Linked DNA regions of Lepisosteus oculatus. The protein of the gene in region 3 purifies or fractionates together with the protein of the main gene of each other region. This does not show direct contact. Links are inferred from orthologs where the notes say so. Each region holds a gene or a part of one and is shown on either strand. Other genes may lie near its edges. The genes, in order: med31, med4, cdk8 and med8.

The links.
Region 1: the proteins of cdk8 (region 3) and med31 purify together in Homo sapiens (affinity purification with mass spectrometry; 7 studies listed by BioGRID and IntAct, with this or other methods). This does not show direct contact. The link is inferred for Lepisosteus oculatus from reciprocal best matches to the Homo sapiens genes CDK8 and MED31.
Region 2: the proteins of cdk8 (region 3) and med4 purify together in Homo sapiens (affinity purification with mass spectrometry; 9 studies listed by BioGRID and IntAct, counting the BioPlex papers as one, with this or other methods). This does not show direct contact. The link is inferred for Lepisosteus oculatus from reciprocal best matches to the Homo sapiens genes CDK8 and MED4.
Region 4: the proteins of cdk8 (region 3) and med8 purify together in Homo sapiens (affinity purification with mass spectrometry; 7 studies listed by BioGRID and IntAct, counting the BioPlex papers as one, with this or other methods). This does not show direct contact. The link is inferred for Lepisosteus oculatus from reciprocal best matches to the Homo sapiens genes CDK8 and MED8.

What each region holds. Positions count from the first base shown.
Region 1 is NC_090721.1:9,979,390-9,986,450, reverse strand, and holds the start of med31 (mediator of RNA polymerase II transcription subunit 31), read left to right. Parts: upstream 1-4,052; 5' UTR 4,053-4,253; coding exon 4,254-4,275; intron 4,276-4,510; coding exon 4,511-4,585; intron 4,586-5,679; coding exon 5,680-5,776; intron 5,777-6,818; coding exon 6,819-7,011; 3' UTR 7,012-7,061. UniProt on the Homo sapiens protein: Component of the Mediator complex, a coactivator involved in the regulated transcription of nearly all RNA polymerase II-dependent genes.
Region 2 is NC_090710.1:30,648,574-30,655,656, forward strand, and holds the start of med4 (mediator of RNA polymerase II transcription subunit 4), read left to right. Parts: upstream 1-4,078; 5' UTR 4,079-4,103; coding exon 4,104-4,174; intron 4,175-4,540; coding exon 4,541-4,607; intron 4,608-5,276; coding exon 5,277-5,447; intron 5,448-6,454; coding exon 6,455-6,512; intron 6,513-6,810; coding exon 6,811-6,897; intron 6,898-7,083. UniProt on the Homo sapiens protein: Component of the Mediator complex, a coactivator involved in the regulated transcription of nearly all RNA polymerase II-dependent genes.
Region 3 is NC_090700.1:5,395,455-5,403,187, reverse strand, and holds the start of cdk8 (cyclin-dependent kinase 8), read right to left. Parts: upstream 3,017-7,733; 5' UTR 2,791-3,016; coding exon 2,663-2,790; intron 1-2,662. Other genes in the region: E3 ubiquitin-protein ligase RNF6, read left to right, coding at 3,104-3,274, 7,336-7,516.
Region 4 is NC_090704.1:2,359,219-2,367,047, reverse strand, and holds the start of med8 (mediator of RNA polymerase II transcription subunit 8), read left to right. Parts: upstream 1-4,824; 5' UTR 4,825-4,961; coding exon 4,962-4,967; intron 4,968-5,404; coding exon 5,405-5,526; intron 5,527-6,178; coding exon 6,179-6,323; intron 6,324-6,513; coding exon 6,514-6,654; intron 6,655-6,907; coding exon 6,908-6,995; intron 6,996-7,101; coding exon 7,102-7,350; intron 7,351-7,829. Other genes in the region: KICSTOR complex protein SZT2, read right to left, coding at 1-97, 722-856, 1,152-1,322, 2,429-2,602, 2,875-3,000, 4,318-4,341. UniProt on the Homo sapiens protein: Component of the Mediator complex, a coactivator involved in the regulated transcription of nearly all RNA polymerase II-dependent genes.

The DNA.
Region 1 (7,061 bases), on a different chromosome or scaffold from region 3:
CCACCCCAAGAGCAGTTGCAAATAAATGACAAAAGAACTTTGTATGAGAAAAACAACCCCGGGCAGAGCTGACAGGAGAGACTCTGAGGAAGAGGCGGGGGGTCTGTCCTTGCACAGGCGGAACGGGCCCAGGACAGAGCGCTCAGTGGCTCTCTCCCTGCGGATGCAGCCAACTGAATACATGGGTCCACGTGTAAGATGCTTTGGATAAAGGCATCAGCGAAAGAAATGAATAACGGTACGAAAAAAATGCAAATATGAATAATACAAGCATTCTCCCGTCACATCTTGTTCCCATCCGGTTTTAGAGTTCTTGGGTGCTCAATCACACAGCTGTCCCTCTGTCCCATCTCCAGCCCCCCAGTCCGGAGGGCTGCGGCGGGGGAGGTGGCGGCAGGTATCAGCCTGTTCGCTCCTACAGCAGCACTTTCTCTCCTGCACGTCAGACCCACACACACACCTCCTGTTGATTTCAGCACTTTGCGGGGAAAATTACAGAGGTGGAAACGCGGAGAGACCGTTCCGGGCCGCGTCTTTCCCAGAGACACCGAACCCTTCCCAGGCACAGGGATCCCCACGAGAATGAACCCCGTCTGTTCTCGAGCCGTCAGCAGATCCCCGACCAGACAGAGCAGGTGGGATCTCCCATTTTTTACATTTACAGTCACCCCCCAGCGATACAGTTCACAATACTGGAGCCACAGGGAGGGGAAATAGGGGAGGGGAGAGAGAGAGGGAATATATCGGAAATTCCTTTTGAAGCAAAACAAAGGCGAGGGTGTAATTAGCGTGTGGTTTTTGCACCCAATTAAACAACCGTGCTGCATACTCCTCGTGCGTCGTCTTCACTAGCCCGCGCACAGCAGACATGTTGTCATGCAATCACCCGAGTGGCGTGTGGACAGTGGCACCTACGGCACCTTCTCCGCGGCGAACCCATTGGCTTCGGGGCTGAACTACAAGGCCCCCCAGCACAGCGCATCATTAGTCACACAGCACCTCCAATCCGCCCCGACAAACAATTTTACTGCAGTAAAGCTCTTTAATTACATAATTGAAAATCGACAGGATCTATATACCATTTAAGAAGCTGGCTGGATCACCTGGGGGAGACACGGATTAGATAACTTCACATTAAAGGGCTGACTCCTCATATTAAACAATGATAGAAGGCTATGACGTATTGCAGTAGACGGTCTGTGGGATAGTTTTATATCCTGGAAGACTTCCTAATTCTCGCCCCACTCAATCCAGCCTTCGCGCGAGTGCAGTGCTCCCCCTGGCGGACAGCACGGATAAACACGTTCAAATTAGGGTTGAGTTCAAACTTCCCCTAATTGCGGTTTCTTTAGCCCAGAAAAAAAGATTACTGGCGGGGGTGGCCTATTCTACCCATCTAATTTTGTCTAAAGTACTTTTGAACAATGATAATATCGCTTGGAATGAAAAGGCGACGCAGACAAGCCGGAGTCTAGTACCCAGACGACCCGACAGGTTGGTTTGAACGGTCATTTTCTCTTGTTCAGAATTTAATTGCAGTTAAAATCAAGTTTCCCATATACAAAAAACACCATCCTCTTCTTAAATAAAGCATCAGAAATCACATCGAAACTTGCAAAGAAATGTAAAACATATTACATAGATATTGTTTTTTGCTTTTATGTTGGTTTTCTACTGATTTGGTAGTCACATGTTTGAGATTATTGACAAAAACAGGGTCCGCTGTTACTACCGCTGAAGACGGTCAGAATTTTCGCAGGAGGCGAAATCTGTTGTGATTCAGATCAATCTCTTGCCGTAAGGGAAACTTGCGTCACACGGGCGCAGCCATGACAGGCTTGTCATTACGGCACAACTCCAGGGCGCGTTTCTTGTTCTCTACCCGAATTCCTGCAGCGTCGCTCCGTATTGGCGTGAGGGAGGAGAAATGGGTGGGGTTTAGTCAGACGGTCGTCTGTGATTGGATACAGCCCGAGGATGGACAGGTGACGGAGAGCGAGGCTGGTGTCCTGATAAGGAATCTGTGCCAAACTTCCTCAATCCTCCCGAACATCCTTCTGGAATGAAAATATAAACCGGAAATTAGACTGGACAACTCCTGACGCATATTGCCTTACAAACAAGGTTTAAAAAATTACATTTAATCTTGTTCATAGGCTTTATCTTGTAACACTTTCTAAGGTCATACATGATCAAGATAATTTATGACGTGTGTTCGGTTGGAAAAGGCTGGAAAAGACATTCTGACACATTTATTTGTCATCCGCATATATACAAAGGTGTTTTGGATATACTTGCAAAACTTCATCTTTAAGAATTTCACCGTGAATGTTTAATTTAAGGAGTTTGGTATTATGGCATGATTTGCCAGATGTACTCTGGAAAAAGGAACATTTTCTTATAAATAATCTGTTAGTTATACTGGGTAGATACGCAAAACACAATAGTCCAGTTCTGTTCCCTACTTTAATGATTCTAAGATTGAACTGCAACATTACTTAAAATCCATTAGCAACCTTACAAATAACAAGGCAAAAAACGCCGATTCGATTATGTAAAGTTTTAATTTATTGTGTTCAGTTTTGTAATTACCTACGGATCGCAGTGTTTTTTTGTGTGTGTGTTTTGTTTTGTTCAGTTGTCTCTTTGTATTATTTTATGATCAATAAAAGTTTGGAAATAAAAGAGACCAACTCTCAGGAAGACTGGAAGTATCGTTAAGGATACTCCCCCACTTTCCTCTGGTAAGGGTTATAAAGCATGAATGCACTAACTTCCAGACCCAGAGACAGTTTCTTCCCGTAAACTATGAGATTACTAAACTCTGCCCCTACCACTGACTCACACTGGTGTGTGTTTTCACACTGCGTGTACTGACTAGTATTTACCTTGTGTGTTATTTAACCTTGTGGCTGGTGCTTCTACTGTTATGTGTATCTTTCGGCGTTTCCTTAATGTCTCTGCATTGGAGCATACATGCAAACATTGCACTCGTGCAGATGACCAAATAAACTGAACGGAACTGATCCACGCCACCTGTTGTGAGTGCGGACGAACTACCCCTGACGATGTTTTTGTCTTGAATTGTTATATGTACGCTTGCTTTTATTGTAATTTTTCTTATTGTTTATGCATGAATAAATAAAAAACTGCCGAACTCCACTCACTATACTGAGCTATCACACACGTAGAGCTGCAACTGGGTAACATAACAACTGTACGACATCAAATGGTGATTTTCTTATGTACAAAAATCCCAACAAAGGCAAAATCAAGTATTAATGGATAACGTGCTCAGTTTTAGGTGGCTTTTTAGTGATTAACCTATAAATGATTGTGATTTGTGCAATTTGTGTTATAAAGCTGGATTCTTCAGTCTGCATGAACGTGCACTGCGTGTGCAGAGTGCATCTTGTACTGTACAGCTTAGAAGTGCATTCTAAACCCGAGAGCAGGAGGCCCTCCTTTGCACAAAAAGGTGTTGGAGTCGGGAACAAGCTACACAACCACGGAGTTGAAGACGATACGGTTTTGTTTTTTCGAGAAACACCTGGATGAGATGAGATCCTTAGATCGATTTACAACTAACAGTAGATAGGACGAACGGTCTCCTCTTTAATACTCTTGTGCATTGCCGGCGCAGACTATTGCTTACGAATGTTACAATTTATTTTTAATTTCAAATATCAAATAAATTGTAACAAAAGAACACCGAACAGCTGGATGTGCCTGTTGATTTCTACATCTTAAAGATTCATTTTATTTGTATCTTAAAGCACAGCAAGAGAGTGCAGTGATCTCGGAGTCTGATGGAACTGAATTCTCCCACCCAGGTTCAGATATAGAGGTTGTGCTGGACACACCCACTCTCCAGCAAAACAAACCACTCAGTGTTAAAGGAACTCCAAAGCCACGCTGCTTCCCAAGTTCTGCTAATTGGGAGACGGGTCCTACGAAATCACACCCAAGATTGTCTATGCAACTGAGGGGAAAGGAATGGGGCGTGTTGCTACAGGAACTGGGGTAGGAAAAACACACTGCCGGGAGGGCGTCGCGTTGTTAGACGTCATACACGAGTTCCGGCCAAGATGGCGGATGTGCTGTGTTACGCTAAACGAAGTAGTTCATTTGAGTATTAAAACTATTCCCTCTCGACTACAAAGATTTGTTTTACAGGTTACACTGCTAAAGGCTGGGTTTGTATCTCTGAGGAGTAGCGCTTTCTCATTGAACACGAGAGTCCGCTGACTGCTATGGCGACGGCGATGGAGACAGGTTCGTACGGGTCTGTTTACTTGCGCCAGCTGAAAGTAGTGCGGTCGGGGGTATTGATTTATCTGTTGTTGTGAAAGTGGAGTGCACATCTCGTCTTTATTTGTATGCAATTTATGTCTGATATACTAAAAGGGCGTACGTCAGCGCGTTGAGGTGGATGGGGAGTGCTTCAGTATTGAATCCGTGGTTCCTGTCCCTTGGCGTGTTTGTAATGCTGTCTCTTCTTCGCCGACAGAGGAGCAGGCGAGAAACCGATTCCAGTCGGAGCTGGAGTTCGTGCAGTGTCTCGCTAACCCCAACTACCTGAACTGTGAGTCGCTCTTTCACCCTCTTAATAATAATAATAATTCCTTACGCTTATATAGCACTTTTCTGGACACTCCACTCAAACCAATTACAGGCAATGGGGATCCCCTCCACCACCACCAGCGTGCAGCCCCACCTGGATGGTGCACCAGTCCTCTCCCCACACACCAGCTCTCAGTGGGGAGGAGAGCAGAGTGATGAAGCCAGTTCAGAGATGGGGGTTATTTGGAGGCCATGACTAGTAAAGACCAGGCTGAAATTTGACCAGGACACCCCTACACATTTTAGATAGATACTTTATTGTACTCTATCTGTCAGCAGCCATATCACCCTGCAACTCACAACTGGCAGCCCACTGAAGCTAAGCAAGTGTGAGGCTGGGAATTTCTGGGAAATTGCAGAAATTTTAAAGAAAAGATTTTAAATTTTTAAAGAAAAGGGATTTCTGGGATTTTTAATGACCACAGGGAGTCAGGACCTTGGTTTTACGTCTCATCCGAAGGACGGCGCCTGTTTACAGTATAGTGTCCCTGTCGCTATACTGGGGCATTAGGACTCACACAGACCGCAGGGTGAGCGCCCCCTGCTGGCCCCACGAACACCTCGTCCAGCAGCAACCTTAGTTTTTCCCAGGAGGTCTCCCATCCAGGTACTGGCCAGGCTCACACCTGCTGAGCTCCAGTGGGGTGACAGCTGGGAGCTTCAGGGTTATTTGGCTTAAATATCATCTTAAACCTGGACTGAGCCCTGGGGGTCTGAAAAATAAACCACGGCAGCTTCTGCTCTTCTGCCTGTCTCTCATTTGCTGCAATGGAGTAACTGTTTTTAATTAGTGCTCAATTTAAACTTGCGGTACGTTATTAATTAAAATATGACCACGGACCTGGGTTCCGAGATGGAGGTCTGGGTTCTGTTCCACCCGAGCTCTCGGCTGCACAGCGGGTCTGATTCACCTCTCAACATTAACGCTTGTCTCTAGCCCAAGAGGGGTTTTATAGATAACTTTTCCTTTAGTGCATTTGAGTCATTGACAGTAAAAGAAAATAGGAACCGCGCGAGAAGGCAGTGTGATCTGACGGCTCTGTCTTGTGGTCCCAGTCCTGGCTCAGAGAGGCTACCTGCGAGAGAAGCCCTTTGTGAACTACCTGAAGTACCTGCTGTACTGGAAGGACCCGGAATACGCCAAGTACCTGAAGTGAGTGTCTGTGTCTGGCTGTGTTCAGAGGCTGTTTGGTCTCTCAACTCTATTACAAAGGAACAAGTAATAGGTTTATTCCATGCTGAAAAGGGAAGAAAGAAAACACAACGTTTCGGCTGTGGAGCCTTCTTGGCTGACACCCGAAGAAGGCTCCACAGCCGAAACGTTGTGTTTTCTTTCTTCTCAATTCAGCATGGAATAAACCTATTACTTGTTCCTTGGCAGCCTACGCATGCTGGGACCGCAGTCTCTGCATGACCAGGCTGTCTGTATTCTGTACTTGTCAGTCTGTGCCCCTCCCTCTCAGATCGGTTGATCAGATTATCCTCAGTGTAGTTACAGATCTGGCTCAGAATCTGCCCCTTAGTAAGGCAGAGTTAACACTTTAAAGTATTCTAACAGCCTGGAAGACATGAGAAATTCCAGTGCAATACTGTGGGAAGAGCAGTGGGATATTGTAGATCCTTCCTTCAGAGTTCTGGTGTTACCCACAGGTATAAACCCCAGGCCCTTCCTGTAGTCTTCGGTTAGAGTTCATTGTGTTTTCATTTTGAGGAGATCATTATTAAGTATGGGCTTGTGAAAGCAAAAGTATGGCTAGATTCTAAGTCTGTAAGTTATGGCTTTAAAATATTGTGATCTGATTGTTAAACCACTGTCTTGTGAACATGTTTAATTCTTAAGGAATAATGACATTCAAACCGAAAATACATTCTGCATGGGGATGTGAAAAAGTCAGGCACAAAGAGAGGCGCAGTCTGGCGGGCCGAGGCCCAGCCCCCTGCCTGTGGGTGATGGAAGTCAGGGGGGAAACGAACCGAAGGGCAGCTGCAGAGGTGGAGATGGGGTGGAGGAGGGATGCTAAAAGAGAAGCAGGGAAGTAATGGGCTTGCTGGGGTTTTCGGGACACAAGGAATACAAGTTAGGGCAGCAGAGATGAAGGGGGATCTGAGGGCTGTCCCTCCTCCTGAACGCTCGTTAAAAGCTGCCTTAGTGCCCCTGTGTGTGACCGTGCCCCTGTCTCCCGCTCCCTGCCCAGGTACCCCCAGAGCCTGCACATGCTGGAGCTGCTGCAGTACGAGCACTTCCGCAAGGAGCTGGTGAACGCTCAGTGCGCCAAGTTCATCGACGAGCAGCAGCTCCTGCACTGGCAGCACTACTCCCGCAAGCGCACGCGGCTGCAGCAGGCCCTGGCGGAGCAGCAGCAGCACGGCCACGCCGCGGCCAAGTGAGGCCCGCGGGCGGGGGGGGGGCCCTTGAACTGAGGAGACTCCGGGCGTCG
Region 2 (7,083 bases), on a different chromosome or scaffold from region 3:
AAATTAACATAGAACAAAACAAAAAATAGAAGTAAAATAAAATCTACAGACATGTTACAGACATTTACAACAAAGACATATTATATAATATCGACATATACTGTAGGCGGCTGGAGCATTATTGGGAGACGGACTCACTGTTCCTCAGGCTGTGACAGGAGATCACATACTGGGCTGCCAGATCAACTGAGTTCCCTCCTCCCTCTCCCAGTAGGATTGGGACCTGTTGTGGTTTTGGCAGGTGTGGGAACTCTGGGATTAGATTTCTGAATTTCGGGAAGAATGTTTCTCTAATCCCAGAGTATCTGTCACAGTGCAGTAGGAAGTGCACCTCTGTCTCTATTTCTCCCTGCTGGCAGTGGGAGCACAGCCTGTCCTCTCTGGGCAGCCAGGTCTGCCTGTGTCGCCCAGTTTCTATGGCCAGGTTGTGGTCACTGAGCCTGTACTTCGTCAGGGTCTGTTTCTGTTTGTTATTTTTTATTTTGGTCAAATATTCAGCTAGTGTGTATTGTCTGTTTAAGGTTCTGTAGCATTCCAGTTTATGTTGTGTTTGTGTGTGTGTGTCCCAGTGTGTGAGATATTGCTGTTTGATCTGTGCTGTGATGTGGTTGAGTCTGGGTTGTGGTGCTCTAGCAGTGCTGTCCTGAGGCTGGTTAGTGTTGGTGTGGCTCAGGTCGGTGAGCCTCAGGACCAGCTGGCTCAGGGGGCTCTGTTTTGGGCTCAGCTCTTGGCTCAGCAGGGCTTTGTGGTGGTAGGAATTTTGGTCACTGTTTTTTAGGTGTAGCCAATACTTTAATATTCTTTTCTGTATGTTTATCAATAGTGGGTACTGGCCTAATTCGGCCCTGCACCCGTTGTTAGGAGTTTTTCTCTGCACACGGAGGATGATTCTAGAGAGAGAGTTATCTCTCTCTCTCTCAATTCAATTCAATTTCAATTCAAGGTGCTTTATTAGCATGACCAATAGGTACAATCAGTGTTGCCAAAGCAAATAAAAATAATACAATAATAAAATCTCTCTCTCTCTGCGGGAATGAAGATAACCTCCAGGATCACGAAGCCGTTCTGGAGTCGGATGATCTGTGAATCGATTCAGCCTTTCCAGCAGCGACGATACGAGTTAGCAACCATAACGACAGAAACTAAAACCCACCCCCTTCTCTAATCAAAAGTGTTATCAATTTTAAAAAAAAATCACCATCATGAAGTCCGGGGGAATAAAAACTCGAGTTTTGAATCAAGTGCATTTATGAAGACGTGAAAACTGCTTGGAATTAAGTTAGACTTTGTACTATCAACGTTATTTTTTTCCCCAATGCAATTCCCTTGGCTACTTAAATACAAAACAGTTACTACTCTGTGAAAACTTTACCTTGCCTTGGATAAAGACGTTAGTAAACTAAAAATATGTATGTGTTTCGTCCTATATATGGGAAGACCTTTGTTTTTAGTAATTCAACATACGTTTCAGAACAGCTTTTAATCACCTCTCAAAGGTTTACAAATTAACAGCAACCCCGATTAATGAAGAACTGGTTTAGTTCTAGAGCGAAACAGTAAAAAAATCAATTGGAAGAAACACCGTAGATACGTCTGGTTTTCAAGGAGACAATTCAGATCGAGTCTTGCTCTCCCTGAAGTTAGGAATGGCGTTCTTCCTTGACTCGGGTCTGCCCTGTACTCCACGTCTTGCATCTTGTACACCAGTGACAACCAATTTCTTCCAAGAATGATTTATCTTTTATCACTGCGTCTGATTGATCTAATTTGAATGAGAGCTTTCTAAAAAGGTAAATATTTATAATCCATACTTACAAGAATGGCATATCACCCTACAACTCACAACTGGCAGCCTACTGAAGCTCAGCAGGTGTGAGCCTGGCCAGTACCTGGATGGGAGACTCCTGGGAGAAATTAAGGTTGCTGCTGGAAGAGGTGTTAGTGGGGCCAGCAGGGGGCGCTCACTCTGCGGTCCATGTGGGTCCTAATGCCCCAGTATAGTGACTGGGACACTATACAGTAAACAGGCGCCATCCTTCGGATGAGATGTAAAACCAAGGTCCTGACTTCCTGTGGTCATTAAAAATCCCAGGGTGTTTCTTGAAAAGAGTAGGGGTGTAACCCCGGCGTCCTGGCCAAATTTCCCATTGGCCCTTCCCAATCATAGCCTCCTAATAATCCCCCTCTCTGAACTGGCTTCATTACTCTGCTCTCCTCCCCACTGAGAGCTGATGTGTGGTGAGCGTTCTGGCGCACTATGGCTGCCGTCGCATCATCCAGGTGGGGATGCACATTGGCGGCGGTGGTGGAGGGGAGTCCCCATTACCTGTAAAGCACTTTGAGTGGAGTGTCCAGAAAAAGCACTATATAAGTGTAAGCAATTATTATTATTATTACAAGCATACAGACAGGACAAAGGTGAGAGATTAAATAGCACTGGCATTCGTCAACTATGGCTCTGAGATTTTCCTTCTGGTGTATTCTGCACTCATGTGTAATTGTGAAACTAGTGGAGTACCACAGGGATCTGCACTAGGATAATTACTCTTCCTATCCTATATGTATCTCAATGACCTACATTGTGGTGTAGCTAGTAAAACGGTTTGTAGTAAGGTTTGTTAGATGATATCAAATTAGGAAGATGAGCAAATCCTGTACAAGCACCTAAAAAAGAAAGAGATAAAATACAAGACCAGACAAACACCTGGCAGATGATGTTTAATGTTGGCAAGCGCAGAGTTTCTTCTGGCAAAATACCTAAGCTAAGAATACAAAATGGGAAACACAGAGAAAGAAGACACGGCATATTAAAAAGACTTACGAGTTTACGCTGACACCTCATTTATATCTTCTGTGATAAAGTAATTAAACATGTAAGCAAAATGTTAGAATAAATATTTATGATATTAAAATTAAAACAAGATGTGTTGTGTTGAATTTGCATGATGCACTAGTAAGCCTTAAATGGAATATTGTGTATAATTCTGCTCAGCACATTATATTAAGGTTGTGCTGCTCTGGCATCACTGCAGCCAGGAGCAGTCAGATACATCCCAGGGCTTCAGGGACTGTCATGCACTGACAGCCTGTTTAATCATGAACAGAGGAGACTACAATGGGACTTAATGCAAGTGTCCAGCATCCCCACAGACATCTTCAATATCTGATAAATCCAAATCCAATCCATCTAATGAATTGGTTTTCAACAAATTACTGTGGCAGAAAGAGAGCTCCTCACTGATGAGCTGTTTTCTTTGAAGCTTGGTCTTATAGTCAATGATCCAATGAAACCCCCCCAAAATTCTTGTGAGATTGGTGTGTGCAAGCAGTAGTCTACATCTGTTGTTGTGAATAAAGGGCCTGTTTTGTGCTCTTAAATGCCAAATTCTCTGATTCTCTGATTCTTTTTATTTCATTAAGAAAGATTCTGAATCTGGATTGCTCATTGGCTAGAGGGAGCTCTGTCCTAAAAGACATATTCAGAAGTGTTTCTGTGCCGGTCACTCATCTCCCTTGCTTGGTTATTTCCAAATGCCCAAGTAGTGCTCACTATACTTCAGCTATTGCCAATCCCTATGTATTGAGCCATAGTTTATATTTCTTATTATAAAAAAGCCTTGTCAGGAACAGGTTAATCACATTGAACACAGTGAAACGAGTCCTAGTTACGTGTGGTTTGTGGGGGACGTTGCAATCTATTGTAAATTAACCCCCTCCTGCACTAGTATTCTTGTATATTAATATGTATTTCATTATTGCCTCTAGAGACACGTATTTACTGTATGTGTACAAATAAGGTAAATGCGGGTAATACATACAGAGGATTTCCAGCCATAAACAAACCCTAGACCCAGCTTTTAAAAAACAAACAAACAAACAAACAAACAAACAAACAAACAAACAACAACACATAAAAAATGAAAAACAATCAGGTTTATCGTATTTAACCCCGGACGATGATCGACCCCTTGTTGTTCCCTGGTTATAAAGACATCTCTCCACTAGGTGTCACCACTGATTTTTAGTGACGACTTTTCTGTCTTGTCCGGTCTCTCTAGATTTGTTGTCTGTGTGAACATGCGCACTATGAAAGTTACTCTATCATGGCGGCTTCCGATAGATCAACTAAAGATCGGTTATTGTCTGTTTTAGACGATTTGGAGGTGTTATCCAGGTACGCTCGCTGAGAAATACAGTATTTACGCCAGAAAGACTTTACCCTGTGGACAGTAAAGTGGAACAGAAAAGGTCTGAAAGGATTTCGGGGACTCGGATGTTGGCCTGTGTAGGCTATCACAGAGCAACTGATTTTACCTGAGCTTCAATGCAGTTTGACAAACTAGACACTTTGCGTGTTAAAGGTTATGAAATGTTATATTTATTTGTCACGTTTTGTGGAAAAAAAACAACAAGAAGAAATTCTTATAAAAAGTGATATTTACATTTACTGTATAGTATCTGTATTTCTTTGTTAAGTTGCCTCGGTTATGTGCAATAGTTGTTACGATCTGCTTATGTTAACTGTATATATGAACTGCAGGGAACTGATTGAGATGCTGGCGTTGTCGAGGAATCAGAAACTGCCCCAGCCTGGAGAAGAGACTCAGGTATAACTACGTTTTCGTCTCGAGTAAACTCCTTTGGAAGGTGATCTTATTTTGTTTCAACAGCACATCATTCACTTTCAAACGAATTGTTGTAATAAAACAAAAAGCGTGCCTGCGTAAACAGCTTACATTTTAGGAGGAACAAATACTCGGATCCCTACCAATCACAGAGCCTGTCTCAGTGGAGCCGGGCTAACTTATTAAAAAACACATTTACACTACATTGAATATCTGTCAAATTATTCCAGTGGGTGGTTACACGCATATTCATAGGTTTATTCCATGCTGAAAAGAGAAGAGAGAAAACACATCTGTATGCTTGTTTAACGATGCTGACTGGTCCCTGCCGAGACCTTACAGACAGAGGTGCAGTTGTACCAAAATGGATGCATCCAGTACTTGTTTTCCATTATTTTAATTTTAGCCTAGGCTTTCTTCGAGCGAGGAGGACCTTAGGGAGCTGGTCCCTGACATACAAAAAGGTTTAGGAACAGGGATTTAAAATATACATGCTCCATGTGTGGACATAGACCCTCTTGGGGGGCCCACCTTGTTTCTGGGTAACGAGACGACTTTAGTCAAGCCGCTTCTGAGAAAGAACTGTTCGTCTCCCAGTGGAAATCCCGGCTCGGCAGTGGAGCGTGTTTAAGAGGGCGTGCTCTTGTGCAGATCCTGGAACTGCTGGTGCAGAGGGACACTGAGTTCCAGGAGCTGATGAGAGTGGCTCAGGAGCAAGGTCAGGTCCACCTGGAGATGCAGCTCCTGGAGAAAGAGGTGGAGAAGAGAGACAGCGATATCCAGCAGCTGCAGAAACAGCTGAAAGAAGCCGAGCACATACTGGTAAGCAGGGTGACTAAAACAGAGACATTTGTATTGCTATCGGACCCCTCTGCTAGGAATTTTGGCTTTGAACTGGTTTTCTTGCAATATGTATCTAGTCAACTGCTTCTTCATAGTCAAAAACAGTTTATTTAGATTACAGATATTTCTAATAGTAGCGCTGGGGCTGCATTTTTCTTTCCTCACTAATCTTGACAACAGTGCACTTGGTGAAATGTTGAGGTTTTGTTGTGAAGAAAAGTGAGAATGTAAAAACAAAGGAACAGGTAATGGGTTTTAATCCCTGCTGAAAAGAAAAGAAAAAAGAAAGGAAACAACGTTTTGGCTGTGGAGCCTTCTTCAGGTGTGAGAAAGACAGGGCAGACAGCAAAGATTAAATGGCACAGGAGAACAAAAGCTCGGAGAGGGGAGGAGGAGGCAGAGAGGCCACTCAGGAAGTGCAAAGCGGAGAGGGGTGAAGAGCTGCCTGAGAATAGAGAAGATTACACAAGAATAAGTCAGTCATTGAGAGAAGGGGAAGGTGTGAACCTAGTTTCAGGATGAGTTTCGTTTCTGTAGTCTTTCTGCTGTGGGAGTTGAGAAACCCTTCTTTGAGAAAAGAGACCGAGAGATCAGTGTGATCATGGCCGTCTGAGGCGAAATAATAAAAAAAACTATGGGCTTGGAGAAATCTTTCATCTTCACAGCCCTAACATGTTATCTGAAGCGGTCTCCTAGTCTCCTTCCGGTTTCCCCAACGTAGATAGCTGGGCCTTTTTTGCAGGAGATACAGTATAGGATGTTATCTGGGTGATCTGGAATTGACCTGAGGTGCCCTGAATGAGCGTGTTGTAGAAACAATGCCATTTTGGATAAAGTTTCCAAAAACTTCTGCAGGGAGTTTCTAGTATATAATAACACGGACTATGTAGTTGTAGTCAACTAGGTGTAGTCAAAGTATTCAAGTTTTTCCAGTCATGTGTTTAAAATAATATAGTAAGATTTATTCATTTATTCTTTCTTTTTAGGCAACTGCTGTATACCAAGCAAAGGAGAAACTGAAGTCCATAGAAAAAGCAAGAAAAGGTCAAGATTATTTTTATTTCAAAATATTGATAGGTCTTTCAGTAAGTTTCATTAATAATTTCTCAAGTTAATCAAGCATAGAAAAAATCATGAGCATGATGCACGTAAAAGAGCTGCTTTTCAAAAATGTTTCTTTTTTTTTTTTGCTGAAGATACTTTACATGGTCCTGTAGGTAAAGCACTGGTAGGAACAACCGTTCTGGGTCAGAATTTCCAAACCGATCCCTTCAAGTAGCCAGTGTGCGGATGGTACATACTGACGTAGAATGTGCTTTAATGGTGAATGTCTTTGTTTCAGGAAGCATCTCCTCCGAAGAAATTATTAAATATGCTCACAGGATCAGTGCCAGCAATGCAGTATGTGCTCCCCTCAACTGGGTGCCAGGTAAGGCTGGGTACTCTGGAGAACTTGGGTTTGGGGCTTCCCTTCCGACTGGAGCTGGGGACAGAGTCCCAGCAGTGCAGATTTTTAATTGCTTGACAGTCTGGCAAGTTAATTAATAATTAAAATTGGTTCAAAGTCCCATACAAATCTTAAATTTATGAAATCTCCAGTTTTGAAGAGGGCTGT
Region 3 (7,733 bases):
TGATGTGCTAGCACTTCTGGGACAGGGATTCTCCCATGCAAAAGGCCTTTAATGGACATGGAGAAGGTGTGAGATATCTGGCTGCTGAGGCTAACCACAGCGAGCAGCTGACATGCTGCGCATTGCGCGAGAGTCTCCTCGTGTTCTTCCACTGAGCAGCCCGGGGTGGCTCCACAGAGCTGCTGAAAGCAGCTGCTCGTGCTGTGGCTGGACTTTTGCAGGACAGACCATCTCAGCCCTGCAGCTTCAGACGCGTCTGGACTCTGCGGAGGCACTGGAACTACGAATAAACCAACTAACAGCACCGGCATCATGAACACAACACCTCGGGCAGTCTGGGCCGCGTCTCACAGCACGTGGCTCACAGAGACAAAGACCTAAAAGCAGCATCTTTTTCTGGGAGGGTCACTTGTAAAAGAGCGTGTTGATCAATTGGATTGCGAGGCGTGTTTCTTTTATTAAAACTCCCGCTGCCGCAATCTGGTCAGCTCGCAAAAAAGAAAGTGACATCGCGCTCGTTTCTGCAGGCCTCTTTCAGAGACGGCAACAGCAACACTTTCTCAAGCAGGAAAACCCCCAGGAACTGAGAAGGACCCTTCTCGTTTAAGGGATCGCCGCAGTGCGGCGCGTTCTCGTTATAGTGTCTGCAGACCAGCAGGGTTTGGCACTGTGCTGTCAAGAGGAGGCTCAGATACATCATAAAATCTCAACAGCACACACCCAGCGAAAAGAGACAGGCTGTCCAACCGCTGGTCCAACAACCACTTTTGCACCACACACACACACACACACACACACACACACACACACACCCTTTCCTGCTTGGGGGGGTGTAACACAGCTCTTCTGCCACAAAGAGCTGATGCACACACAGAGACGTGCCATCAACCGAGTCAGCCAGGGCTTTTATCCAAAGGGGTTTAATCAGTAGACACACACGAAGCAGGGCATGTGACTGAAGCATCTCGTGGAAAGGTACAACAGCACTGTCCCACCCGAGATGTGAACCCGCATGAGAGTGGTGGACCCACAGCTTCCAGTGAGGAGTCCAGAGCCCTGCCCGCCGCTCCACACTGTAAGATTCCCCTGCGTTTTGGTGCTGGGAGTTCGGGGCGGACAACTGCAGGAGATGACCCATATTCGAGTGCCTTCTGTCCCGACAGTCAGAGCTGACACGCATCAACACCAGGCTGGATGTCACTGCTCATTAGCGGCGCGGCTTCACTCGAGAGGGGGATGAATGACCCCTTCCATCCGCCAACTTAAATGCAGTTTTTGTTTTGGTCCCTTCTTCTTAATTGAGGACAGGACATTAAACTCATCCCCCCTGCCTGTGGTCCCCCCCCATCTTGCCTGGCAGTGACCCTGACTTGTTGGGGAGGAGAGCCGTGTATTGTGCCCCCAAGAGATACTGGGACCAAGCCTGGCTTCTGTCTGTGGACAGGCAAGTCCAGAACCGCAGTTCAAACTCTTTTCTAAGGTGCCAAAACACAGGAGTGGTGGCTACCGCGTGCCCTCCATTGCTCACACACAGTGCGTGTGTCACGTGTGCACTCAGAGAAAGAAGGACGCTCACACCGATACAGCCAGTGGCAGAGAAGCACCTGTGCACTCTTGGGACTATTAATAAATTCCTGTTGAAAAGGACAGCAACCCGGGGTCAGCTTTCACGTCTCTCCAGGCAGCTGAAGGATGTCCTTCACCTTGAGCTCCAGGGGCAAGCGGAACTTCTTCTTCGTCTCATGTAACTGCTATATATATATTAAAAAAAAAAAACTGAACCGCCCCTCAAGATGTATGGAGCATCTCTTGCGAGTTGCTATTCGGGTTGATGCGAGCGATTTAAAGCAGTGACCGCAGACTTCGACGCGCAGAGCTGTCCGCAGGAAGACACAGCTCCGACAAACGCAGAACCCTCCGAGAAATGTCGGTTTGTTTGCAAGTGCCTCGTGTTCGCGTTTATTGCAAAAGGGGGGCGAATAAAAGTGAATAACACCATCGTCGTGGAGACTCGGAAGAGGAAAGAAAACCTGAAATTCACCCCCCCTCCCCCCCATAAACGAGAGGTTACTCTGATATGGGAACGTCGCTCTTCGGCAAATCGGTTTCCCGAATCCCACCATCCCAAGCTGAGGATTTACAACGTAAACACCTCCTCGACAATGTATTTTTTCAGGACGTTTTCTGCAAACGGGCTCGGTCTATTACGGGGGACGCCGCCACTGTAGTTCTAATCAGAAAACAGTGCAACAGCCAGGCGGTGCAAATTCGTAACACCAGTTAAGAAGAGCAACGATTTAGCAAAAACAGCAGCACACGGCACCTATCCAGTTATCTTTGGTTGGCACGGACTGGGGGGGGTTTGGTGTGACAGTCCGGGCAGCTTTGTCCCTCTCCAGTTAAAGAGACAAAAACAGCCACATCTCATGGAGCTGGTACTGTGTTACTGAGCATGTCTCTTTTCTATTCGGGTTGCGTTATCCAGCAGGACGACAACAACAACAACAACAACAACACCACCGTCTCTGGGATCTCAAACAATAGAGGCAACACCACCACCACCACCAACAACAGCAACACAACTAAAATGAACCAAAGAGCCGCGAAGAAAGTGTGCGCTTTATTTTCACCCGGGGCCAGCCCGGCAGGCCTGCCGACTCACCCATCTTTCCTCTTCGCCTTGTACACATGTCCGTAAGTGCCCCTTCCAACTTTGCAGCCCTCGTATTCAAACAGGTCCTCGACTCGCTCTCTCTCCCCAGTCAGCTTCACTTTGAAATCATAGTCCATTTTCCTCGCCTTTTTTTTCCCCCAAGCGCCGCCTGGGAAGCAGCCCCTCTCTTCGCACCTGGGCTCTACGTATCTATCGATCTTCCCCCCCCCCCCTAGCGCTGCCCCCTCGCCGGGCCGAGATGCGGCATGTACCGGCTGTGCGTGTGGCGGAGAGATGCACGATTTTCTGCAGCGTCTGGGCTCCTGCTGCACCGACACCGACACCGACACCGCTTCTGCTTGCTTCCCTCTCTCTCTCTCTCTCTCGCTTTCTGCAGCTGCGCCTCTCTGCCGGTATCTGCTCGCAGGAGCTGGGCATCAGCGCACGGCAATGTCGCAAAGCGTCGCCAAGCCAGGCTTTAAAATAAAGGACCGTCTGGAAAGGGAGACGTGCGCTTCTGTGCGGCGCACCACGTGGATTTTAACCCCCCGGCCCTTCCGCAGCGAAACCGTCGCTGTTGTCAAGAGGAGCTCCGCTGCGTGGACCAGCGGCAGAGGAAACGTGTGTTTTCCGACCTTCGTAAATCACGTTATCGCGCCGGGCGTTTAAAAAACACGCGCTAAGCCAACTCTTCGGGTTTCTTTTGTTTTTTGGGCTGTCTTTTTCCACAGTTGTGAAGTAACCAGACTGGGTTTAGACTGAACGTCACGAAACCTAAATTTTTATTTTTTGGGGGGGGTATATTTTAACGTCAGAGCAACAAAAACAAACAAAAAAAGGAGATTGGCCGTTTTGTAAACAGATATTGCAGTGTATATATATGTACAAAGATGAGCTCCGAAACTCTAGAGCTCCCTCTACTGGAATTTCGCTTGAGTGACCATGCTAGACGTGAAGAGCATCAGGTTTTGTTCCGGCAACGTTCAGTAAGAAAAAAAGGTCGAATCTCATGTTAATATCCAGTTATAGACGATTGCGAGGACAGTCGTTTACAGACATGAGACTTCTTTTTTTCCCCAGTTCTGCCAGTTGTCACCAGATGCTCTGCCAGATGTCTTTTCCCCCAGCTCTCGCGGGGCGTGTGTGGCACTGGTGTGTGAGACATTTAAGGGTGTCGTCGGGGTCCTGGAGTATTGGAGACGCGCCCAAGTCACGATAGTGGTTGCCCTGCGTGTCTTGCGTGAAAGTCGTGCAAGGAGCGAAGAACTTCGCTGTATAATAAAGTTTAAAGATCCCATGTTGCTCTTCTGAAGAGTAAGGTCTTTAAATCGGTAATCGAGGCTAAATTCCTGGATTTAACCTTAACTTCCCCCTTCAGTTCAACTGAAGAAGCGGTTTCTCAGTCCTCCTCCGCCTCGCCGATCTGCTGTGCAGTGGGGTTCCTGGTCCAGAATGGCCACATGCTCGGTCACACAAGCTGCCCTTCAGTGGTGACTAAGGGGAGACCCCTCCTGTCTGTAAAGCAATTTTGGATGGAGGGGGGTATATAAATTAAGGACTCTTTGTTGGACCTCCATTATTATACTACACTTAAACATCAATGGCCGTGGTACACATACAAGAGGCATCTGTACTTTCAAGTATGCAAACATCAATACATTCCAGGCCTAGAATGGAGCAGGGCAAACTAACCTTAAAACACAAGGTACAAAATGGAAAACACAAATGATGCACTGACATGATTTGCCACTTGTGGCTGTTTCTCCAGGAAAAGACGCTGGGTCACAAGGACATTTCCCACAGAAGTTTGATACAGGCTTTTAACTGGGTGGGGGGAAAAAAAACGCACCATCTGCAGGAACTGGTTAGCATCGCAGCGCAGGGGTCCAGGGTTCAATCCCTGGGGTGCTGTCTGCATGGAGTGTGTATGTTCTCCCACGGTCCAAAGACACGCTGGTGGGCTAGTTGGCTTCTGGGAAGATCGGCCCTGGAGTGTCGGTGTGCTCTGTGACGGACTGCGGTCCCATGCAGTGTGTATCCCACCTTGACCCCAGCTCACTTGTGACCCTGTACTGTTAAAAGGGGTTAGAAAATGGATGGATGGATGTTATACGAATAGAAAGGAACAGGTAATGCGCGTATTCCATGCTGAAAAGAGAAGAAAGAAAACACAACGTTTCGGCCGTGGGGCCTTCTTCAGGTGTCTTTTGTATGACTTGCAGATTCCGCCATGGTATTTACCAGTAAATGCTGTGCGAATCGGAAAACGGTGCAGTATCGTGTTCCAATAGGGAATACGCTACATAGATAGATACTTTATTGATCCCGTGAGGGAAATTGCAGTGCAACAGCAGCTTATAATAATAATAATAATAATAAAAATAAACTTTATTTTATATAGCGCCTTTAAAGGTGGCTTCTCAAAGCGCTTTACAGGATGACAATAACAATAAATAAGAAGACTACAACAATAAATAAAGCTTAACACAGACAACACAGCCACAGTGTAACAAATAATATAATAATAGTACAATACATACAATACAATACAAGAGTTACTCACAGTCTGGACACACAAAGAACAGACTAGAACAGAAGGGGGGGGAGGGGGCGACACTGGTATTCAAGAGTATGGAGATAAATCGAAAGGTTTACTTTTAAATCCATGACACGATTTTAATTGAGGCGTTAAAGGAACATATGTACAAAACGTGAGTCTAAAAAAGAAAGCCTAGTGTACTGTACATGTCTCCTGGAGGGGGGGGTGCAATGTATCTCGTCGCTTGTTGCAGGTAGGACTGTATTGGGTGCTGCACTGGTGTTCCCATCTTACACTGTATCCCGGACAGCAGGGGAAGGGAAGAGGACCCGTCCATATTTCAGCTGAGGGTTTCAGGTACTGAAGTGTGCCCGAGCTGTCTTGTCACGGCAGCGGTTCTCCTTGTACGTGTGCCGTCTTCCCTGGACGGAGCGTCTGCTCTCTTTGCGGTGCCATTTTGTGTATCGCGAGCACTGAAACGGTCTACACGGCGGTGGTGAGGCAACGCAATCTCACTGTATAGGTTACGCGTTTGTTTGCATGGACACGCACGTCCGCAAGACAGAACAGCACCGGCGGCGGGGCTGGGGTTTTTTTCAAAGGGAATCCGAGGCGTATTTTGCGGGGATTTCGGGAGACCGACGCTGTCTTTTGTGTCTTCTTCGCGATGAAATATCCGGGGCCCGACTCTCATTTTTTTTTTGTTTTCTGTTTGTCCCGCCTCCCCGCTCAGCTGTTTGGGCGTTTCGTCTGTCAATATACGGGTCTGGGCCCACTGATTGGTAGGGAGCCCTGTAAGGCTTGTAGTATTTGTATCTAGGGTTAGTGTATTTTTTACGAAGGCCCATCTTCGCTCTGTATAAACCATTTTATGCACTGATTTTACATTTCACTTCATGATACTGTGTTTGGCTTCTATTTTTGTTTAACCTTAAATTTTAGAGTGGGCGCCTAATCGCGCGTTGCTACGGAGAGCACGTATCTTCCGTGTACTCTTAAAAAAATGAGAAAGCAGCTTTCTGCACCAGGTTGTTTTTAATTGAAAATTTTTTTAGACTGTTCCTTCCATTTGCTGGCTCTGCTGGGGAGATAAAAAAACATATTTTCGTCGCAGAGCCTTTTAGACAAATGCAGAGATCATGCCTAACAGATGTTTATTTCTGTGTACCAACAGCTCCGCAGTGAAACTTTGTTGGAGTTTAAGATGGTATATGTGATAAGGAATTATATTCTGGTCTCAGTGGTTGATACGGTCATTTTTCATTGGGATAGACGTTTCTGGATAGTGACTGAGACATGAACAGCCCCGTGTGAATGGACTGTGTTTTTGTTATCCTAACAGATACACTCCCAGTTTATGCTACTGGAGACAGCACTTTTTCTTGGTTATTTCAAGGTTGTTTCCTCGTAGTGCATAAACGGGCATAAGGATTCAGATGAAGCAAACGTCATTTTAAAGGTGTAAGTTGTAATGAATCATAAAAGCAACACAAGTACAGTCAGTAATATTTCCAGTGGATCCAAACATAGCGAGAGTCTGACAGCTTACAGCTTATAGCCCTCACAGCAGCTGTACTGAAAACTGAAATCTGCACAATACTCTGCATATTGTTTTGCTAGGAGTTTTTGTCCAATTTGAGCAGCCAGCCCCACCTGCTTTCTGCCCACAGAGTGCACCAAGGGCTTGAGCTGTGTCATGTTGCAGTCCTGGAGGTACAGGACTCCCGGTTTCGATTCTTCAGGCCCACAGGGTATTCAGAGCCTGTACGCTGCTGACTGCTGACACTGCTGTCATGTTTCATGTCGCCAGACTATTGCTTTCTGACAGATGCCAGGCAATTTGAGGTTTTCCTCATGCGGTGCTTTGTGGATTTATTTCCCCCCATTACTGCTTTTGTCAAAATGTTGTGCGGCAGTGATAACGGTTTTCTCATTATATACGTGCAGCGGGAGACTGTGGACAGGCCGTCTGCGGGCCGGATATGATGTTCTCGGGTTCCAGGTTTCGAATGAATTTGAACGAATGGATGCAAAGTTAAAAGTTAATAGTGCAGAGGAAAGCCCCGAAACCCTGCTGTTTGTTTCGCTCGCCAGCCTCACGGAGTGTGTTCTCCCGGTAAACTCCCCCCCCCTCCTCCTTCAGGCAGCCGGAGCGGTTTCCGTGGCGATGGACCCTCCCAGCCCTGCGGCGCCCGGCGGGCGGGACGAGCGGCGGCGGCAGGAGGAGAGGCTGCGCCGCGAGGAGGCGTACTACCAGTTCATCGACGGGCTGAGCGAGGACGAGTACCGCCTCATGAGGGACAGCAACCTCCTGGGCACGCCAGGTACGCGGGTCCCCCTGCCTGGCCCGGTGACACTGCCCCCTGCTGGGCGGGGGTTTGAGGCTGCGCTTGCTGGGAGATCAGATGAGGTCGCTTCACTGGCCCGATACAGTTTCTTGCATTAGGAGTTCGTCTTTTCGCAGACCCCAGCTTGCTCTCCTTGAGACACACAGACAGGGAGAGAGAAGCTCAGGATTGGAGCGCAGGGTCGGCCGTTTAT
Region 4 (7,829 bases), on a different chromosome or scaffold from region 3:
CCACGTCGGCAGTCACCATGGAAACGCCCAGCTTCCTGTGGGGCTGGTCTTCCATCATGTCATTCAAGACCCCAGAGGACAAAACCACCCCATCGGACTAAAAAAAAAAAAAAAAAAAACAAGATTAAAGAGCATAAGAGACTTTTAACAAAAAAAATCAAAGATTTCGTTAGCAGCAGTGGTACTGGGAAGGGAGATATCCAAGGAAAACCAGGTTGCTAGTGTAGGTGGTGTTGGTGTATCAGTAGGTGACACTAGTTCTGTCGAACCACCTAATTTCGTAATGTTCCTGCTTTAGGCAAGTTTTCAGAAATTTGAGAAATGCTCAAACTGGGCCCTCCGTGGGCGTGCTCTTCAGGCCAAGCTAGGGTTATGGTTGAGGAAAACCGTTACAGTTTGACTTCTTTCATCACTGTGGTGGAGATTTAAATGATGAAATTATCCATGAAGTCTTCTAACTGCTTCATCCAATGCAGGGTTAAGAAAATAAAATGAGCTATTATTCTCCCAGGATTTTTCTGGCTGGGGGAATCTGGAACAAGCTACCTACCCATGTTGCTGAGCGTGATACCTTGCCTTCTCCCACGATATGGCTGGATGAGATCCTCACAACACTTTACTAGTGGAAACCGAATGGGACGGATGGACAGAATGGCCTCCCGCCGTTTGTAACCTTTCTGACGTTCCGATGGTTTGGAAGGTCGGGATTGAAGTCACTCACCTGCCCCCTCGCTTGTTGGTGCTGCTGTTGGAGGACCTCCGCAATGTTATTCTCCACAGCCCGCAGCTGCTGGTAAACCTGCTGTAGGAACTGGTCCGAGTCGGCCCGGTCCAGCTGGCAGCCCTGAACGAGTACCTACGGAGAAGGGGAAGAGCATCCTTAGCCGAGAAGGCTTGGAAAACGCATCTGAACAGGCACGGCACAATGGCACCATGTGGCTTTTATTATAAACACTTAAGAATCAAGTCAAAACAGCTGGCTGCGTCACTGTTTTCCTCCTGAATGCCTGATCAATACCTTGCATCTTCTTTCCTAATGTCTACACCTGTCAGTCACGCCTGTTTGAGTGTATATTACCAAGGCTCCCCGCCACAGACAGCTCCGTTATCAAACACTTCTCTTCACAAGAGACTAAGGTGTCAGAGATGACCTGGTGAGACTTGAGTCCGATGATGGAGGAGTAGGCCAGGATGGTGATGAAGATCTCTGGCTGGAACACCAAATCAGTTCCCGGGACTTTGAAGGGTCTTGCGAGTCCGGCCAGACACCTAGTGAGAGCGTGGAACACCTCGTCGAAAATCATCTCGCCCGTGCAGTCGTCCTGCCAAACGACACGCAACACGTCGATCAATCAGGCCAACTTCCCTGGAGCCCACCGAGATCCCAAAAGCGAAAGACCCTCAGCACACGGCCAAGGCCACAAGACAAATAACTTGACGAGCATGAAGCCACCAGGCGTTCGATCAGAGAACAAAGAAAAACAACTAAATATACAAAGTATTACTGTCAAAAACTGAGCAATTTTTTCTATGTCTAAAGTAAAGAACCCGACATGATTTCCAAGAAGTTCAGATTTCGTGTGGCAGAAAGACAAGCCCAGACAAAGAACCAGTCAAGTCAAATTGCCGGAGCTGTCCTTACACCATGAGCTTCTCTGTATTTGATCAGTCAGTGACTGGTGTCCAGGCCAGGATACAGCTCCGCCCTGTGACCTGTATGTGCTGGGTAAGGCGCTGGCTCACATGAGCCTCTTGGGATTCACCATCCTACCCTTGAAGACCCACAAACCTACCGGATTTTGCTCCAGAACAGATCCCAGTGAGACAACTACACTCTTAATCGACTTAACAGGATTGATTTGAGCTGTTGGACTGTGTTCAGCTCTAAAACATTTGCAAGTTCCCCCCCCCCCCCCGCCCCCCCAAAGTCCTCCACATCTCCCAGAATTCATTTTACTATAGTGATTACCGCAGATGCGGTGGGTTAACTTCCGGATCTAGGAGAGTCTAGCTTCATTTTTTTTCTTCAGGACAGTATTACCATTTTCTCTTATACATGTTTAAGAGTGTCATTTAATTATTGCATTTCATGAGTAAAATAAATTCCCAATTTTCGAGAGGAAAAAAAAACAGAAACGTTCCAACCAAGCAGCCGGTTAGCCTGATTAATTAGTTAAGTAATTAAGCTGGGTTGGAATGAAAACCAGGAGGTGTGGGGGTGTCCAGAACCAGGACTGAGGATCCCAGCTCTACAGGATGAAACAGCTGTGGATGAGAGACAGACAGAAGTCTGTTTAGGGGCTCTTCTGCATTCCCAAGCTGCAAGCGCTTTGCCACTAGGTGGGAGTAAAAGCCAACGGCCCAGGAGTAAGGAAACTGAATTTCTCCAGGAAGGTGACCGAGCACAGGCGACGGAGGACACTCTTACCACGATCCCCGTGGACGGGCTCAGGTCCAGCTCGATGATGAAGCGGTACCGCCGGGCCAGGAAGGTGACCCGGGTGGACGGCACCAGTAGGTACGGCACAGTGGATGGAGGGTCACCAGTCTGCCAGCCCTTTGGTAGGATGCTCAGGACATCCAGCTCATTCTCCGAGCTTAACTGGTGCACAGAAAACCAGCGGGACTTCAGTTACTGGGCACAACAGCAAGGACTGAACTTGTTCCCCGCAAGCACGCAGCGTAGGTCCAAGCACGTCAGTCCACCCCTTAATTCCAGACCGCTCCTTCCCGAGGCGACAGGAGTCCAGCCCCCGGTACGCCACAGCAAGCACACATCACCAGCACAACTCTAGAGCCGAACCGGTCGGCTTCGAGAGGATACAACGTTTAAAAGCGAAACATGCGGGCAGGGGCGTGAGCGGGCCCACTCACCAGCTCGGCCCCCGGGTCGGGCTGGACCACCTGGTTGAGTCGGCTCAGGAACCAGGCAAGCCGCACGTTTCGGGAGATGCGGTGCTCCTCCTTCATGAGCAAGTACACCTGGCCGGCCTCCTCCACCTGGCGAAGGAACAGGGAGCTCAGAGCGTCGCTCACCGGCCCGGGTCGTTTCACCCATCAGGGCGCCGCAGGGGGCGGCCGGCCGGCAGCGTCTGCACCGCGCGCCCTGGCAGCGCCTCCTCTCGAAACCCCCAAAGAAGAGCGAGAGGCGTCTGCACCTGCCACACCCTGAAAGTCAACACTGGCTGGGAAAATGCTTGCAGCCACGATTTTGAAACCACGAACAAGATCGCAGCCTGCAGTCGTAAAGAATAACATTCCCAGGAGGGACTCGGCTGCTATCAAGACCCCGGCTGCATTTTCTTTTTTATGGACCACACTGACCACAACAGGATCTCAAACGGGCTCGCAGGCAGGCTGGCCAGCAAGGTGAAGCCGTTCTGAATATAGCTCCATGACACATGGGTGCCTTGGCGATGAAGGGTTCTGATAAAGGGCAAGACTGGGCAACGTCACGGCTTTTATGGCCTGGAGTGATGAAGTAAATTGTCGTTTTTTTGTTGATTCACAGCTACATGTGGGTAGGTGGCAGAAAGAGTACTGGGTGCCATGCTGGCATGAATTCCATCAACAGTATGGTGGTCTCATCCGTGGGAGACATCCTGTTACAATTTAAACCCGTCAACACTACGCACACTGGTTAGGGAGAATACACATTGCTACATACTGTGCATTTGCCAACACTACCCCCGTCAGTGCATTAGCGTGGCTGCTTCTGAAAACCTTCTCGTCTGACAGAAAGCACTACCGACAGCTTGCAAACCACGGACGTGCTTTACGGTATCTAGTGGTTATGATATTCACTGTAACAAGGAAATACGCGACGACAAGGAGGCTAAGGACACTTAAGAAATGTGAATCGGCGAAGGAGTGAAACACCTGCTACAGCAATCCCAATTATTACCTGAAAAAAACTACAATTACAAGCTGCAAGCTGCAAGCTGAACACCTCGGGGGTAGTCGTGTGTCGTTAGACTAAAATAAAAACGTTCAGTTATCAGTCATGCTCCTACGAAACACAAAAAGCCAATCGATGCACAGAAACTCGAACAGCCATTTGGACTTTGCTAGTCGCTAGTTATAGCAGTACCACCAGCACTCCAGCCTGACACAACCGTTACGGAGAAATTACGCATCTTCCACAAAATGCACGGAGCTTTGAGTCATTTAAGACATTGCCTCTTAGCCAGTCCTTCTATAGCCATAGTAACACGCCCAGCTTCCCTCATGCGTTTATTTTACTTGTCATCCTATTGCGAACTGGTCTGATCTTCTTTCTGCGGACACCCCGATAACGTGGGGACAGTGTCTACTCGCCTCGGTGTCCTGTTCCTCTGCCATCCCGGGTCTCGCATCCCCAGGGGTGTCAGCGTGGAGCTGTGGCGGCGAAGACTCCTTGTTTATTTCGCTACAATTTTCTGTTTATTTGGCACAGGCTGCACCGCGACCCGGAACTGCTTTCCGCTCTGACCCTGCAACGGGATTAAACCAAACCCATCCGGAAATATTTAAAACAGCTCATCTGTTGTCGAATTGTTGCAGAACTCTGTGGTGTTTGTTTTAAAAAAAGAGGGCATTACGAGCATTTACCAGCAGAATATCTGGCAGACAAAAGATGCGCCACTGGCTAGCAACGCCTGTCGTCTCTGCTTAATATTTATTAGTATCTTCTGGTCACGATCAAACTTTTGAATTTTCTTGCTTCAGGTAAAATGTTAGATTCCTAAAAACGAACTGTCACAGAACAACCGTTTTCATAGATGCTAAAATAAAGAGCCGTTGAAAGTAATAAACTGACCCCCGGTGACACATGACTATTCTAAGTGTGTGGCAAGTCTTTCCGAGGTCCTCCACATATCCCAGAATTCCCTTCGCCTCTTTTGAATGACCATAGACACGGGAGGATAACTTCCGGATCTCAGTTTGTTCAGTTTCGGTTTTTATTTTGGATAAACAATACGATGCAGGTGAGTACTAGCCAGCTGGTTTTATTTATTTTTTAAATCATATTGGAGTAGATTAACGTGTTGGGTAACCAAACTGTGTGCATTTTGAAATCGAAATGCTGTCTTATGGTCAGATTGGGATATGCTAACCAGTCGGTTCTAGGTTCATTCTAGTATGTAACCGCTGTTCTTGAACAAGACGAATTCTTAAAGTTAAGAAAAAAATATTAACTCGTAAAAACAACAAAAACGCAGACCGCAGCTTCGTATTTCGTTACCTTAGGTAGTTCTGAGCTCATATTAAGTTCTCAGCGTTTTCGACTAGAGCCTCCCAACAAAGTCTGTGCTCAAGTGTAGCTAAAGTCACCCTTTCGATAATATAGCCATCCGAAAAATGACTCGGGGAATCTTACGAGCTTTGTTTCACCGGGTGGTGTTTTCTCCCCATCCGTGTGCAGCAGCGGGAAGAGAAACAGTTGGAGGCGTCTATCGACGCCTTGATAACTCGAGTGGCCCACCTGAAAAACTCCCTGCACAGCTTCATCTTCAAGCTGGAGAACGAGTACGAAAGACTGGCATGGTGAGGGCTGGGTGCTTGCAGGTGTTTTACCACTTTCCCGAGAAAGGAAACTTGAAAACATTTTTTTTATTATTATTCTAGATCTTTTGCTTAATATCGTCTAGAATAACTCTCGCAAGACCGAGAAATCTTGTGAAGGGTACTGTAACACAATGTCAGACAGACTAATGTGTGGCTGATGAGCTTTGTAATCTTTGTCTTTAACTTTGTGTTAATGATAATTGATTTTAAACTTGTAGACAACACCAGAGAATAGTAGTTGCATACTTCTTTGGGTAATGTTTGTACTTTTGGTTCGCCAGATTCCAAGACTTACATTTCTAAGGTCTTCCATAACCACTTTCCTCAGGATATTGCAGTTAGGTCTAATTAAATAAAATATAGACATGTAAGTAGTAACTATTTTTAATGAGGTATTTATTATTGTTGGATGAGGAGAGAAGGAGCAGATGTGACCCAGGGCCAGGCCCACTACAGGAACAGTAGTATTGTGACTGTCAGAGCTGGTCATTTTTAGACAAGTTTTAGGTAATTAAGTACAGTTGATATTAATTTTTATTGTTGGGTTGTAGTTTTAATTCCTTGCTTTTTACTCCCAGATCTTTGATAGAAGCACCATAATTAATATTGTATGTTGTTCTTTGTTTTTTAGGCCTTCAGTGCTGGATAACTTTGCCCTCTTGTCTGGCCAGCTTAACACCATCAATAAGCTGTTGAAAAATGAGAAGACACCTGTCCTGCGCAGCCAGGTCATCATCCCTCTACTTCTGTCCCCAGACCGGGACGAAGAGCTGGCTGTGAGTCGCAGTTCAGTTCGCTCCTTTGCCATGGCTTTTCTCTTCTCAGAACGTGCCTCGCTTTGTGCCGCTGTTGTCAGCGAAGCACACAAAGCAAGGAGACGATCACCAACATGTCATTTAAAACCCTGATTTCTTCTCGATGGCCTGCTCAAAGCCAGCCCACTGTCAATTTTACCGTTGCCCCTAGAAACTGACGGAGCAGCGCGTGCCCGTGTTCAGCCATGAGATTGTTCCGGACCACCTGCGCACCAAGCCAGACCCGGAGGTTGAGGAGCAGGAGAAGCAGCTGAACGCTGAGGCAGTCCGCATCGGCCCCGAGTTGGCACAGGTGAGTGTCTGAATGCCTCAGGTGCCCACCCTCTAGGGCAGGCTCTGCCGGTGAGCTCCAGGTGTCCTATGGGTGTTCTACCACCGTCGGACTGTTCAAGAACCTTGATGTCTTATTGAGCATGCAGGGCGATGACAGCTCTTTATCTCTAATAATCATGAACAGGTGTTGTTCTGATGAGAGTAAAAAAAACAAACGTCTGACAATCTCCGCGTGCCCTCCGTTTGAAGCCTGGCTTTCCCATCTTGTGCAGAAACAGATACAGACGCTGAACAAGCTGTGCTCGAACCTACTGGAGAAGCTCAACAACCCTCGGGAGGACCGCGAGTCCGAGAGCGCAGGTATCTCGCCAAACTGTTGTCCGCTCCAGAACCCGCAGGAGGCTTTGAATGGAGCAGCCTGTAAAAATAAAAACACTTTGTGAGTCACGGCGTCGTTTCTTGGCAGCTTTGCGGCAGAACAAGCAGACGTTCAACCCCACGGACACAACGGCCCTGGTAGCGGCCGTGGGGTTCGGGAAGGGGCTGGCGAAATGCAGACCCCCTGGGTCCGGGGGCCTGGTCCCCCCGGGGCAGCCTGGGACCGGAGCCATGCTTCAGGGAGGGCCGACCCTGCAGCAGGTCACCATGCCTGGCACTTCCAACCCACAAGCGGCTATCGGCGGCCCCGTTCCCCAGCAGCAGCAGGGCCAGCCAGGTAAGAGCCTCACCTGCCACCTGCAGGACAGGTGCGATGGGCAGGAGTCACGCAGGTCGCAGCATGGCACAAAGGAAGAGTGGGACACCTCTTGTTGTTTTGACGAATACGACGTGATGAGAACAGTCATCCTGAATGATACTGACCTGAGCTTAACCATCTCCTGCAGTCAGCAGTGTCCCAAGTGCATCCGCAGCCCTTTTGTGCGTATGGAGCAGCTTCTTTCATGGAACGTGACTGTCTCCCTGTTATAAAGATTTTCTCTCCGTTATAGATCCTTAAATAAAAATCGGAATGAGAAGTCACGAGGGCTGAGAGGCCTCTTCTCCCCTGTAGCTTGCTTCTGTTTTTTTTAAATTCCCGTGAGCTAAGGGTGTGAATGGCAGTAACTGATCTGACTAGTATTGCTTTTAGTCTGTCAGATAAAAGTGGATTAGCTATAACTGCGGTATTGTGAATTTCAGAGGGACTGCTTATGG